Drosophila melanogaster: one gene and its partner. The gene in region 1 interacts genetically with each later gene. Each region holds a gene or a part of one and is shown in the gene's direction. Other genes may lie near its edges.

Region 1 (8,139 bases):
CTTACTTTTTACTTATTAAAAAGTAATAATAAATTTGGCTCAATCTTTATGAACTTCCGATAAGTTCCTCAAACAAAACAGACCAAACTTCAAGCGTCTGGCTTTTACCATGGTATTATTCGCCCATAATACTAATTGCCCTGGCGAAAACAAAACACAAACAAACCAAAGTTGGTGATTTTTGATCTGCTGCTTTCTTCCCGGACAACACTCACACATGGACAAACAGTGCATAAAGGCTATAGTTATATGAGGCACATTTACATCTGCTTAAGACAGTGACAGATACTTTCTCTTTTCCCCGCTCGAGAGTGATGAAAGTCGGGTTAAAAATAGAATGGCGAGCGAGTGGAGAGCGGATGGCCGCCCCTTGCATTCATTTATAGTTTTCAGTGATTTGGCTTTTTGATGAAGACTCATAATTACGCTGGTTTTTGTCACTGTACAATGGCCGAATTGTTGGAGTGTCGGAGGTGTTTACAAAGTTCAAGTGTTTGGGAGCAGCTGCGCAGCCAGCGTTTATTTTTAGCACGAAAGAGCAGCGAGAGCGAAGCAGCGAGAAGAGCGGCGAAGAGAACGTGCGCAAGTGCATTTTTAAAATCAGAATCGGATGCTGCACGCTCTTGCTCTTGCTCTCAGTAAGCGTGATTACGAATTTGGATTTTCTATTCGTAGTTTTTTTGTGTGTGTTTTTGATTGGCATTTTCTCACCTGGTCGATCCAATGACTGTCTGCGACTCATTGGCAAAAGATTTGTGCTGCTCTTCTGTTGTGTGGTGTTTTTTTCAGGGGGGTTTTATAGACAATAACGTCGGCGAATGCAAATTATGCCAATTTTGATTGATTCATTGGGTAATTTGTTGCTGCTGGTTGTTGGTTCCTTTTGGCTATTGCTTTTGCTTATTTCCTTTTGCCGCGCTGCTTCTTACTCAATTCTATACACTCAACACACACACACGCGGACATCTTTCGAATTTCATTTCACACGCGACTGTTGACTTTCTTTTTGCCCCTCTCTCACTCTAACGCGCTCTTTCTTTTTCTCACTCTCTGAGAACTCGACAGATGTTGTTGTTGTGGGGCCTTTTTTTGATTTGAGGTGTTGCTGCTTCTGCTTCTATTGCAATTTGTGACGTGCTGTTGTGATTTGTTTGTTGCTGGCTTGTGGTTTGAAAAACGCTTTTTCGACAACACACATATGGGGAGCACGCACACACTCACTCGCCAGCAGCCAGCACACACACACAAACACACACGCACGCACACATTCACTCTCGCGCGTCACGTCAATGAACGCAGCAGCACGTAGTTGTTGTTTTCGTCACTGATTCTCGCCTTGTACGCACATTTTGCTGGCTAATCGAAGCACTTGATCGGCAACTGCTCATCAGAGCCTTGTTTATTTACATTGCAGCACGGGGCTAGTGCACTTTCCCCGATTTTATGCGTTTTTCTCTCGATTCGCACGGCCGTACAACGAGCGCCGCCGCCGCAAACAAAGGGAAATGGTGAATGCTAGAGCTGGAAGAGAAGCCGATGGTTAGTCGATACTATCGATGTATACAGATAACTGGCAGCATCGATGTTTGCCCCGCAACCATCGATTGTATTCACTCTAAAAAATATGGTTTTCTACAAGAATTCAATGTTTATAAATAAAACAGTCACTTTAATAAAAGCTTAGAAAACTCTTTGTGATTTATAAAGATTTAAGCGCGTTGTTTACGATAAGTTATAAAAACTAGGGTTGACACCTGTCTGTGAAAGACTTTTTGAATGTAAATAAACATCAAGACGGCAATAACGTAACGAAATTAAATTGATAAATAACTTTATTTTACTAGTTTAACAAATAAGAATATAAAGAAAACCATACAAGTTTCCGCACTAAAAACAAAATATATTATTTTTAGAACACGAAATAGTAAGCGATATTTTGAAATGCGGAACTGAGTATTTCAGGCACATCTGACAGCCCTGAAACAATGCAGACCAGACATTAGGTCGGGGACGTGTGCTAGACCGAGATGTCTGCTAGTACTGCTTTTGTCTCACTCGCGCACGAAGAGGTAGAGAAGAAAAAAACCAAAACGAAGTGGGCAAACTAGCGAACTTCACAAAACCCTCGACAAGACAACTTTGTATTATTGCCCTATTTCTCCTTGGTTATTATTACCGCGGCTGGGCGAGGTATCCCTTAATGTTCGATTAATAACATTTCCGCAGATTTCCCGCACTTTTGCTGCACTCCGAACTGTTGTTTTATCGACTGCCCGAAATCGATTGGTCGATGGGCGATAAGCCCTACGGGCGAAATTTTACCAACACTGGTCGATAGCCAACTATCGTATCGTATCGCCTAATTACAAAAAATAAATATAAATGAAGTGAAGCGGACGCAGCAACAAAAACAAAGAGATTGCTACGATCAAAATGCTACGGGTAAGTGACCTGATCGGCGATGAAAACGCATATAGAGTTCAGTGTGCACATATACCTTTATCTCCCTGTACGACAGGCAATCGGGAAACGGGACAGGGACATCTTCGAGGAAGTTTGGCCGGACAAAAGGCGAATAGTTTTAAAGCTACTGCGCCAGGACACGGTGTCGCAGCGCGAATGGCAGGACCTATTCTTCGGCGTACACTTCGTGTGCCTGTGGGACGAGAAGGGCGCGGCCAAGATCTACGACTGCCTGCAGCAGGACATCGTTGAGTTTATCGTCCAGGCCCAAAGCCAGGTGCAAGCGCAACGGGGCGAGCAGGCCCTTCTGGCCACCTATATTGTGGAGTGGCGGAAGTTCTTTACACAGTCCAACTACCTGCCGCTGCCTTTCCGCCAGCTGGAGCAGTCGCCCCAGGTGAAGCCCTCCTCCAGTGGCAGCAGCTCCTCCGCATCCGTCTCCGCCTCGGGAGCGAGTACGAGTGCCGCCGCGGCGGCAGCAGCTACTTCCTGCAGCGGCCAGGCTGGAAAGTCAGGAGCCTCCACCTCAGCCGCAGCTGGAGCCTCCACTTCAGCCGCCGCTGCTGCAGCCTCCACATCCGCCTCCACAAGCTCAGCAGCGGCAGCTGCAGCTGCTTCCGGAAGTGGGAGCTCCAGCAGCAGCACCTCTACCTCCAAGAAAAACCCCACGGAGGACAGTCCTGTACGAAAACTAATGCTGGACTCCTGGAACAAGCACATATTCCACGACATCAAGCATCGTCTGCAGGAGTCGGCCATGAAGATTGTGCACGCCGAGCGGAACGGCGATGCCTATGATGCCCAGCTAGTGGTAGGCGTGCGCGAGAGCTATGTGAATCTCTCCTCGAATGCAGAGGACAAACTAGAGATCTACAGGGAGAACTTTGAGATGGCGTACCTTAAGGCCACTGTCGAGTTCTATCGCCTGAAATCCGCCGAACAACAGCAAGAGAACGGAGTGCTGGCCTATATGAAATACGCCGACTCAAAGTTGCGTGAGGAGGAGGTTAGGGCCAAGCGGTATCTGGAGCCCAGCAGCTTCAGTATACTTACTTACACGCTGGTTAATGTGCTCATAGTGGACCACCTCAACTCAATCATCGCCGAGTGTCCGGCTTTGATCAGGGACTATGAAACGGAGCGATTGAATCTCATGTTCCGCCTGATGGATAGAGTGATGCACGGCGTTGGCGTGGAGCCCATGATGGGTGACCTGCAGCGTCACATCATGTCCGCCGGACTGGCCGACATGCTGTCCGCTTCGGAGGTGATTACCCAGGATTCGGAAAAGTACGTTGAGCGGCTACTTGAGCTGTTCAACAAGTTCAGCGACCTGGTACGCAACGCCTTCAACGACGATCCCCGCTTCCTCACTGCCCGCGACATTGCTTTTAAGACGGTAGTCAACGACACCAGCGTGTTCAAGATGGAGCTACCCACGAGTATCGCCAATCGGGGTGTAAAGTACACAGCGCCGGAGAGCAAATGCCCGGAACTACTGGCCAACTATTGCGACATGCTGCTGCGGCGAACGCCGCTCAGCAAACGCCTCACCAGCGAACAGATCGACGCCCGTCTGCGCGATGTCCTCTTGGTCCTGAAGTACGTCAACAACAAGGACGTCTTTATGCGCTATCACAAAGTTCATTTGACGAGGCGGTAAGTTGACTGCATAATGTTTCAAATGAAGCGATTACATACTCTTGTTCCTCCAATTACAGCTTGATTCTGGGGACCAGTGCGGACAGCGAAAAGGAGGAGGACATAGTCGAGTGGCTGAGGGAGGTGGGCATGCCGGCGGACTACGTGAATCGGCTGGCGCGCATGTTCCAAGACATAAAGGTAGGTTTTACCAGACTGATGTTAGGAGCAGGTTTATTCATTATCCCCTTTCGTATATAGGTCAGCGAAGACTTAAATACTCAATTCCGCACCTCGATAAGTCGGCACGATGCTATCAACATAAAAATACTCAACGCGGGTGCCTGGGCCCGCTGTTCGGAGCGAGTCTCGGTCTCACTGCCCATCGAGCTCGAGGACTATATTCCTGATGTGGAGGAGTTTTACAAGAAGAAGCATTCCGGCCGTAAGCTGCAGTGGTACCATCACATGAGCAATGGCACTATCACCTTTGTGAATAACTTCGGGCGCTACGATCTGGATGTGACCACTTTCCAGATGGCCGTCTTGTTTGCCTGGAATCAGCGTCAGCATGACAAAATTTCCTACGAGAATCTCCGCCTGGCCACAGAACTACCAGGTTAGGATTGCTTGCAAATTTACTTTTCGCTTTGATGATAATTATTTGTGTATTTTTAAGATCCCGAACTGAGGCGAACGTTGTGGTCGCTGGTAGCGTTCCCTAAGATAAAGAAACAGATCCTGCTCATGGAACCGGCGGCGATCAGTTCGCCCAAGGACTTTGCCGAGAACACAATGTTCTATATTAATCAGGAATTTGCTATTGTCAAGAATGGCAAATCCCAGCGTCGTGGAAAGGTGATTACGCATATTAGCTATCTAATAGATAATCCATAACCAGAGTTCTCACCCGCAGCTGAATCTCATCGGGCGACTGCAATTGAGCACGGAGCGCTCGCAGCAGGAGGACAATCAATCCATTGTGCAACTGCGTATTCTGCGCACACAAGAGGCCATTATCAAAATCATGAAAGTGCGCAAGCGGATGAACAACGCAGCGCTGCAGGTTCGTTGTTCGATAGCTAGTTGTGCGTTTCAAGGGATCTAAAAAAAAAACATTCTTCTACAGGGTGAACTCATCGACATATTGAAGAACATGTTCCTGCCGTCCAAGAAGATGATCAAGGAGCAGCTGGAGTGGCTGATTGAGAACAAGTATATGAGACGGGACGACGATGATATCAACATGTTCATTTACGTGGCCTAAGCAGCTGCTCCTGATCCCGGCTCTAGTCTCAGTCCCGTCTATGCAGTCATTCCCATTTCCATTCCCTCACACGCTACTCAAAAACTATTGCGATTTTAATCTCAACGCCGACGTGCTCAAAGCACGCGCCCTTTTTCTGTCTACGGAATTGGATAATTGTATTATATGGAAACGTGATTCGCTACTGACATTGCGCCCTCAGAGCATTTAAAAGACCCACACTCCAATCGGCAGCCATTTTCTCGTGTCCACGTCCTGTATTTGTGAAACTTTGTATTTTTATATTGGCCCACTGGCTGCTCTGCGTAGCTCTAGATATTATGTTTTGTGCGCTACATGCACCCTGGAAATTCCGAACCCACGCCCACGCCCTGCCCCCGAGTATATCGATCGATAGCGTTAATCTAATCAACCTGCTGTTTTCTATGTGTGTAGTTATCCCTTGTTTGTTTCCGTTGCCTGGTCTTCTGTTGATTCTTGGGTATTTTGCAATGTTCCACGTGAGACTCACACACCTCCTGAAGATTGATGGGGAAGCCAATTCTTCGTCTCCGCTCGCTCCCAGCATGGAATGCCTAATCACACACAAACACTCACACGGGATCGCAAAACTATAACTAAAATAGCAATACTTTATGTTTAAGTTAATGAATAAATTTGGTTCTACACATAATGAAAGCGAATCTATTGCAGTTTTATTTTTAACTGGTTACTGCAACTGAAGGGCGAATAAAAATCGAATGCATTTCATTATACCATAATGCTTATTTTCTTTATTTAACTTACGTGTGTAGAGGGGCGGATGTTAGGTTAGCGTTCTAAAAGTAAAAACCTATATTAATAATTAAAAACAAGGTCAAATGATTTCTGCAGCAAGTGCACCAAAATACCAGGACAAGAGTTACACAATTGTGACATACAATCAAACCCATTAAAATTAAACTAAATATCGAAAATAGACAAAAACGGGCTGACCTATTAATATAATCAAAGACTGACAAATAGAGCATTTTAAAAAACACGTCTAAATAAAAGGAACCCTATTCTATTCTAGCTGCCACTATCATCTATGACTTATAAACCTATAGCTAAAATACTATTGAAGCGAGCATATGTCTCGGTGAGGGCAGGTCGATCTTTTCCGTAGAAAAGAAACAGCTAGCTCCTTCATATCAAGTATAAGATCAAACGTTTCCAAAAAGCCATTGACTCAAGGGTAATCATTTCACCTTCTTATCTTAGGGAGGAATCACGGCCGTACATAAATGGGAATCTACCGTCTCTTCCGACCTTTCTTATAGCCCTTGCCATACCATCCTGCCTGGGTTCGCGCCAACTTCCGTGGAAAACTCGTGCTCAGCTGCTGTCTTCGCTTTGCCGTTTCCGCCGCTGCTATGTGTGCCAAGGATATATTCTCATCGTAGTCATCGTCGTCGTCGGAAGTTGGACAGCACTCGCAGACCACGAACCGACCGCTTCTGGCCCGTTTCTTGTGTTTGCGCTGACTGAGGTTCCAACGCCGGTAAAACTGGCACTCCAGCTCCGCATACCGATCAAAGCAGAAGAAACAACTGGCAGCGGATCTGTTCATCGCAAAGTTCGGCACCACCTGCGAGTTCCAAATATTGAGATCCGCTGGTGGTGGGATCAGGATGCTATGCAGACCAGAATACGCGTACTTGGCATCGTACCACGTGGGTAATTGGCGAAGCAGCTCCTCATCGTTGTTTTGCCTCAACAAATCCATCTGGGCCAGCTCGCTTTCCTCCTCCTCTTCGTTATCGTTCTCTGTGCTGGAATCACCATCGCCCTCGCTCTTTATCTGTATGCTGGACGACTGAGAGGCAGGTGGCAGGACCAATTTGGGCTCAACAAAGGGTGTGGACAGTGGTGCTCCAATGGGCACCAGCGGTGGCAGCTGAAGCGGCTTTAGTCTTGATTCAGTTGGGACCGCGGACAAACATTCCGCATGAGTTTTTTGTATGGCGACTAGTTTTGGCAGCTCTGGAAAACCATTGCTCGGCGTTTCCTCCGTCTCTTCTTTGAGCGAAAGTGGTTCTAGCTTTGGTAGCAGCTCCAAAAGTTTCAACTCCTGCTGAAAATTGGTGTCCGAGCACTCTAATTTCTCCAGCTTAACTTCAGTCTCTATTTTAATGGACGACTCCAGCGTGATTAAGTCCTTCTCTGTTTTAACCTCCCCATTTGTTTTCACATGCTCCACCTTAATTTCCTCGTCCTGGCCATTGAGCGTCTTGAATTTCTGTCGGAGCTCCAGGTTAGTCTTAACTCTTCGACCATTTTTGATGGGTGTGCGAATGCGGGGTCCTTTGCCGATGGGAAGATCACTGTAGTTAAAGCTACAGCTCTCGCTGGAGATAGTCGAGTCTTGCGTTTCCTCAGTGGTAGTGGTGAAGGCCTCCTCCTCGTCGGCATTCTTCAGCAATGGTTGTGTAAGCGTGTGCAGTTCCTCGGGCATCAGAAGCGAAGCATGTGCGAAAATCGGATCCTTCTCTTTCGTGTAAACGGGAACTGGAATGTGGAGTAGATGCATCAATTGGGCCATCACCTGATCGCATTTCCCATTGATCTTTATGCTAGCAATCGCATCCTTGGGCGTCCACTGCAAGTTGACCACACAGATCTTTGCTCGCTGGCGGGCAGGCCGGTCCATCTGCCAAAGCCAAGTGTACTTCTTGAGTACCTTGAGACTGGAGCCCAAGCAGAGAATCACATCCGCTCGCTGCGCATTGGCAGTGGCTCCCGCCCAG
Region 2 (7,380 bases), on another chromosome or scaffold:
AAAAATATGGAAACGTTTTTCAAAAATGTGGGCGTGGCAGTTTTGGGCGATTTTAGGGCGTTAGGGTGGCCGAGGCAAATATTTTTTTTGCAAATCGATAAAAATTCACAAAAATAATAGAATTATGAACAAATGTGGAAACGTTTTTCAAAATTGTGGGCGTGGCAGTTTTGGGAGATTTTAGGGCGATAGAGTGGACGTGGCAAAACATTTTTTGAAAGTCGACAGAAATGTACAAGACAAATAAAAATGTGATAAAAAATATCGACACGTTTTTCAAAAGTGTGGGCGTGGCAGTTTTGTGCGGTTTGTGGGAGTGACAACATGGGTCAACAAACTTGCGCTGCGTCTTTGTCTCTATTCTTTGTCTTCTATTCTGAATGCTGAATCTCAACCTTCTAGCTATTATAGTTGTTGATACGTTAATACGGACATGGCTAGAACGACTCGGCTATTTATCCTGATCAATAATATATTTACTTTATGTGATCGGAAACGCTTCCTTCTGCCTGTTATATATCCTAGTATGCCCTTTAATTCTACGAGTAACCAGAATAAAAAGCGAAGGTAATTTTTTTGCCCAACGGTACAGCGCTGTGCAATAATAAACTGTTTAAAAATGTCCATATGAACATCAAGATCGCAGCTAGAATGTTGAGATTCAGCGTAAAGATTCTAGAGACAAAACTACCGTACCGGTCACGCCTACACTTTGGAACTATTTTTACTCTTATCTCTTGTTATTTATATATTTTATATTAAATTCATTGGATTGAAATTTGAACACTATGTCATATAGCAGTAAAAGTATGTTATTAAAGAAGATTATTATTTTATTAATGGAAAAGATATCCTAGAAAAAAGCATTGTACCCGTATTTAATTAAATAGAATTTTGAGATAAAAAAGAAAACAAAACATTTTTCTTAAACTTTTTATCGGAGTTGCCTACCTCATTTTATTTCCGGTCCTAAAGCAATTTATTAAAATGCGAAGATTTTCGCTTCTATGAATCTATTAGCGGTGGTCAGGTTTTTCAAGCTCTACATTAATGAATTTAGTGACCAGAAACATTGCAGAACTCACAGGTCGCAGGGCTGAGGCTTGAGGCAAGAAGGACAGACCTACACAAATCAGATGTTCTGCTACTTTGCACCTGGTTGACTGACGCATAGCTTGTTACGGCTGCGTCCTGCAACACTGCTCCAGAAACGATGCCATGTTGGAATTGAATTCTTTAAGACTGGTTCTCCAAATGCTGCTCCCATTTCGCCAGACTTTCCGGATCCAGCTTTTGGATAAGTACTTGGGCGATAATTCATCCAACGATTTGTGTCGTTGAGCCCATTCCATTTAGCGCGCGAATATGAGCGTTGAATTTATCACACAGTTTACAAAGCATTGAAACGGAACCATTCTGAACTGCCCTTGCCCTAGAATCTCAGTAATGTGTGCCTGGAATATTAAACAAACAGACAAATTCAATGCTATAGCATAGTTGCCATCCGATATTTCAAGTGCAGTGTCCCTCAGACATGTTCTTAGATGCTGCAACTTTTCTATGTTTGTTAGTTCAGGATGGCTATCTATTATCGTAGTAAACATAGAATAGAAGTCCAGCCAGATAGCTCGCCCAAGAGGGGGCAGCGACGTCCTATGCCGGAGTGCTACTTAATTGAAGTGTTAAAGCTTTAAACAGCTTTGCGAGCTTGTTGCAAATTATTGTTTATTAGCTGTTTTTGAGCAATGAAAAGACGAGTTTTGTGTAGCGATTTTGAACGATATGTTTAATAATAGCCGACATGTAAAAAAGATTTTGTCAAAACTTATACATGAGAAATGTTGTGTAAATTTTTGAGAAATTAATTGAAAAATGGTAACATTAAGGACAGTTGTTGAAATTAGGTACAATATTACCATTTGTAAGCGTATGTAAAACGAGCGGTAGAATAACAGTATATTATCGTATCATACGTTGAACGAACTGAGAGGCAGTTCAGTCGCGTAAAGTCAAAGCCAAGAATGTAGAAGGAAGCACATTGCCGCGCGGAGTCGCAATAAACAATCGGATGTCATCAAAAAAAGTGCAACCTGCAAAAACAATATATGGCAGTTAAGCATCTAATTATTCTTTATTATTCTTTGAACGAGCCGTATTCGGTAAGGAGAACCCGGTTTTCAATTAATAACGCCGAGTAAAATAAACTGTTTTAGTTATTTTATATTTATATTTTTTTATTTACCCGTTATTCAGCTAATGCCAGCTTTTGGCATAAATATTAATAAAATGAAAAATTGTTTGGCAGTTTAGGCGTAATGCGACAGTAGGTAAAATGTGCCTGTCATACCGTAAAAACAAGCGAGACAGATAATTGTTTTTATGAATTATTACAGTTTTTTGGTTTGGGTAAACCAAAAATTTGCAATTGTAAACTTATCAAGTTACTTTTACGCATGGGGTCAATCAGATACCTTTAATTTAAAAAATTGTAATATGGTGATAAAATGAATAACTTCATTTAAAAAGATTTTAAAATTTGTTTAATTTACATTATGTTGTGCTAAATCTTGAAACGGCTTGACTTAGAAAGTCTTTACCAAACTTCGGTCTTTGAAGTTAAATTAAATTATATAATTTCGAAGAAATTATTAGTCTTTTCCAAAATCCCACTCATTCCGCACATGACAAAAATCGTTACATGTCACAACACTGTTGATGTACGGTATAAGTGGATATACAAACAAATGAATGTTTTGTGCATCAAAGGTTCCTGAGTGATATTTTGCTTTATGTGTTGTTTTATTTTAATCATAGCAAATCGACAAGATAAAAGTAATGTAAGTTTCACAGGAACTGATAAATGAAATTCACACATATCTAACGTGGGAATTGATCAATTAATTATAAATATGGAATGTAAGAACATATGTATGTTCATATTTATAAACGTTAATCAGATAAAAATTTGAGATATGTGATAAAAATAATTATATGTGAAAACTTATCTGTACATATTGAACTTCATGTATTCAATCTCCTTGGATTGAATTTGTATGAGCGTACAAAAACACTATAAGAATATTAATTAGGAGTGAATCTGATATCACCAAAAATACATACATACGTAATTGCATACAATCTTAAAGATTTGTTGGAGAATATATTATAGGGAAGGAAGCGTTTCCCTAATGCATAAAGTATTTAAGCATATGTATATAAATAACTATATTATTGATCAGGATTACTAGACAAGTCGATCTGGCCATGGGCTTGCTTCAGTTATATGATTTTCGAATTTTTTTTTTATGAATAGTTCGTCGGTGCTGTAGCAACTTTTCATTTATTTTCTATTAACTTTAACAGTAAAGTTGAATCAATACGAAATTTTGGTTAGTATAAAAATTACATTTAAACCAAGACTGCATCACTACTTTTCTTTTAAAAGGTAATATGCAGGCTTAACTCAATGAAGGCGGCGCAAGCCGCTTTTACACTAGCATATTGTTAATTCACACAATGTAAAGTTTACTTTAACTTACTTCACTACATCCTTTAGTCATTCAGACTATACGCTATTTGTTATACTCGTTATACCCGTAGAGTAACAGGGTTCCTAGATCCGTTGAAAACTATGTAGCAGGAGGAAGGAAGCGTTTCCGACTATATAAAGTATATACAAACATATGTAAATACATATATTCTTGATCGAGACAATCTGACCATGTCCGTCTGTCCATATCAGCATCAAGATCAGCCAAAATGTTGAGATTCAGCATACAGATTCTAAAAACATAGACGCAGCGCAAGTTTGTGACCCATGTTGCCACGCAAACTCTAACGCCCACACACCACACAAAACTGTCAAGCCCACACTTTTAAAAAATGTGTTGATATTTTTTCACATTTTTTTTAGTCTTGTAAATTTCTATCGATTTACAAAAAAAAAATTTCTAACGCCCTTAAACCGCCAAAAACTGCCACGCCCACATTTTTGAACAAATTTCTGGATATTTTTCAATAATTTAATTAGTCTTGTAAATTTGTATCGATATGCCAAAAAACTTTTTGCCACGCCTAATCTAACGCCCTAAAACTTCCCCAAACTGTCACGCCCACACTTTAAAAAAATGTTTAGATTTTTTTTCATTTTTGTTTGTCTTGCCAATTTTTTATCGGTATACCAAAAACACCGTAACCACGCCTCCCCTTTTACCAACAAAACGGTCACGCCCACACTTTTAAACCATTTTTAAATCCTTTTTATTTTATCTTTATCTATCGATATCCCAAAAAATGTATGCAATTTTACGTTCGACTACAGCATTCTGTTTTGTTTTTCTCTCGATTTTTTGGTGCTGGCTCTAGAGATGGCTCCAGGCTCTCTCGAATGTTTGTTTAAGAGCCAGAGTGCGGAAAGATATACAGCCAGCTGCCCTCTTCGGCTGTCACTGTATGCGTAAGAATAAAGGAGACAATGATTGTTGGGTGCTTATGTTCGCACTTCGTGTCTCAAGAAATCATTTTTGCAATAAACAGTCAACGTATTTTTATATATTGTATATACAGTTTGTCAAGAAACTGTTTACACACTGTGAAATAAGTTGAATTTTTGACCTTAAAGGTAAAAATGTTCAAACGCTATTTTTTTATGAAATATATTTTTGTTTTACTTATAAATCAAAAAACAAATTATAAATATTAAATATAAAGAAAAGAATTTTGAGACTGTCAAGAAACTCTACGTTTTCTTTATGTGTTTAATGTATGTATGTATGTTTTTATTATTATTTAGAAATTTATTTTTTGAAATGTAATTTTTTTTTTAAATATTTCACATTGCAACTTTAAAAATTGATGTCGCAAAAGATGTCGTCAGTCCCGTTTTACATATTATTAATTATAAACACAAATTAAGATATGAAACATTTATATGAAACACTTTAAAAATCTAATAGTCAAGGCATACATGTTTAAATATTATTTGAGTAGATCATTTTGCAACGAAATTGCCCGAAACTCTAAATATGTTATATCGGATCTTAGATCAAAATTGATTTCTGCCCGAAAATCGTCTTCTAGCACAAGTACGCACACATACAAACATTCTCCAAAGACGCTAGTTATTCTAGTGTCTTTGCTTTCTCGTTTATTCTTTTAGCACACACAAGCAAGTGTATTATTTTTTTCGATTTTATACCGCTCTCAATTTTACTCAAGCGGAGAGAGAGCAATTTTGACCGTCAACAAAAAAGTGGCTGCATAGTGCAAAACCAATGAATGGCCGTTACGCATCTTGTAATTCTATTGTCTTTGCTTTAACTCGGTCTGTGAAATCAAAACAATAAGGAATTCAATAAGACAACTAGCTGTACAAGCTTTAGGAATGATACGAATAAAAGTGGTTGGCACGCTTTAAATAGCTTTTATGTCGAAATTTTTTTTTTTCGATTTTCCTTTTACTTGAAATCGATCGATACGCTAACTAAGTTTTGAAATATCTTCTTGCCTCGCATCTAAATATCGGATTCCTGGTTGTCTTGATAATCTGTGATTGTTCTGATTATTATATGATTAATATAATACTATATATATATATATATATATATATATACAGTATTGCTAGTATGTTTTCACATTAGTAAAAAAATATATCTTCATAATGTACTACCATAAGTAATAAATATTCAAATTTGCTTATATTCGATTCTTAAGTTTGAAAGCATTGGAAAAACAGTTTATATAAAACACGAAAAGAGACAGAAAAGAATCGCGTGGCGTTTTTGTTTCGCATGCTATATTAAGTCGTAAAGATCGATAAAGTTTTCTTGTGTATTATAAATTTTGTGGCTGTTTTCAAATTATGGTTTGTATTTTGCAAGTAAGTAACAATATATTAATTAAATCAATACATATTTCGTGAAAAATATTTCGATTTTTCTTCGTTATTTTTTCTTTGTCTTGCCATTTTTTATCAGTATACCAATATACTGCGGCCACGCACCCCCTTTCACTTACAAAACGCCCAAAACAGTCCCGACCACACTTTTAAACAATTTACAAAATGTTTCTCATTTTATTCCCCAATATCTTTTGATATCCGAGAAAATGATGAAATTTCGCGTTGCATTCGCACTAGCTGAGTAATAGGGATAGTCGGGAAACTCGACTATAGCGTTCTGTCCTGTTTTTTCATCGGTTCAACAGAAGTAATCAAACGAAACACGATTTACCTAATCATTTTACCAATATTGTATGTTTTAATAAACTTATAAATTCTACCTAATAACATTATATTTTATCTATTTCTTGCAGTATTTAACCCCCCCCCCCCCTAACACAAAAATTACTGGGGCAAAATTTTATACATAATATAAAATAAATAAATTACAAAACTCAAAGTTTTTTTTATTTATTTCTTGGGATCACCTCCTGCTGTTTAGTTCGATACGTTCTACATATAACCGTTAATTTTGAAGAACACTTTTAGCTGTGTTACCGGTAAAAGGTGAGGTGCCAAATAATCGAAAGCTATTAATTAATAAAAAGAAATCTGCAAATGTTCAAATAAAATAAAAAATGTGTACAATAATACAATAATATTTTCAAGAGAGGGTGCTGTAGTCGAGTTCCCCGACTATCAGATACCCGTTACTCAGCTAGTGTGCATGCGAACTCGAAATTTCATCATTTTTCTGGGATATCGATAGATATTAGTAAATAAAATGCGTAAAAAATTAAAAATTGTTCAAAAGTGTGAGCGTGACCGGTTTTATGACATTAGAGTGGGCGTGCCAAACAAACTTGCGCTACGCCTTTGTTTCTAGAATCTGTATGCTGAATTTCAACCTTCTATCTTTTATAGTTCCTGAGATCTCGACGTTCATACGAACAGACGGACATGGCCAGATCGACTCGGCTATTGATCCTGATCAAAAATATATATACTTTGTGTGGTCAAAACGCTTTCTTCAGCTTGTTACATACTTTTCAAAGAGTATAACATACCCTTTTACTCTACGAGCAACGGGTATTAAAAAAAATGAATTTATAATAATTATAAATTCGTCATATATACTATACGTAGAAAAACTAAAATATTTTAAACTAATATCGACCTATCATTTGTTTTCACGGTATATTTAAAATTTTTTTAAATAAGTTAATTTTTTATTTTTTTGCATTTAATTAACTGTGTATCTATTTATATTTGAATATCCTTTAATTATAGGCAAACATAAACAAATAACGGTGATAGAGTTAGTCTAATAACTAAAAATATACGCAGCTAAAACTGTTTTTTGGTTTCTTTTCTCTATTTTAATTTGTTTTCTAAGTACCTTCAATCTATTTAGAAAGTTACACTCACATTAAAATTCACTT

Evidence for each region. Genes that interact genetically often act in the same process or in processes that back each other up.
Region 2: of Cul5 (region 1) and gus, changing one enhances a phenotype caused by changing the other (phenotypic enhancement), as found in Drosophila melanogaster (one study listed by BioGRID).

Annotation. Positions count from the first base shown.
Region 1 is NT_033777.3:29,057,185-29,065,323, reverse strand, and holds Cul5 (cullin 5), read left to right. Parts: upstream 1-2,348; 5' UTR 2,349-2,433; coding exon 2,434-2,442; intron 2,443-2,518; coding exon 2,519-4,122; intron 4,123-4,184; coding exon 4,185-4,305; intron 4,306-4,365; coding exon 4,366-4,723; intron 4,724-4,783; coding exon 4,784-4,962; intron 4,963-5,020; coding exon 5,021-5,170; intron 5,171-5,233; coding exon 5,234-5,371; 3' UTR 5,372-6,052; downstream 6,053-8,139. Other genes in the region: Bicra (BRD4 interacting chromatin remodeling complex associated protein), read right to left, coding at 712-742; Sirt7 (sirtuin 7), read right to left, coding at 6,645-8,139.
Region 2 is NT_033778.4:5,123,683-5,131,062, reverse strand, and holds the start of gus (gustavus), read left to right. Parts: upstream 1-2,741; 5' UTR 2,742-2,837; intron 2,838-3,539; exon of another isoform or gene 3,540-3,660; intron 3,661-3,720; exon of another isoform or gene 3,721-3,814; intron 3,815-7,380. UniProt on the Drosophila melanogaster protein: Involved in the localization of vas to the posterior pole of the oocyte. Required maternally in the germ line for efficient primordial germ cell formation.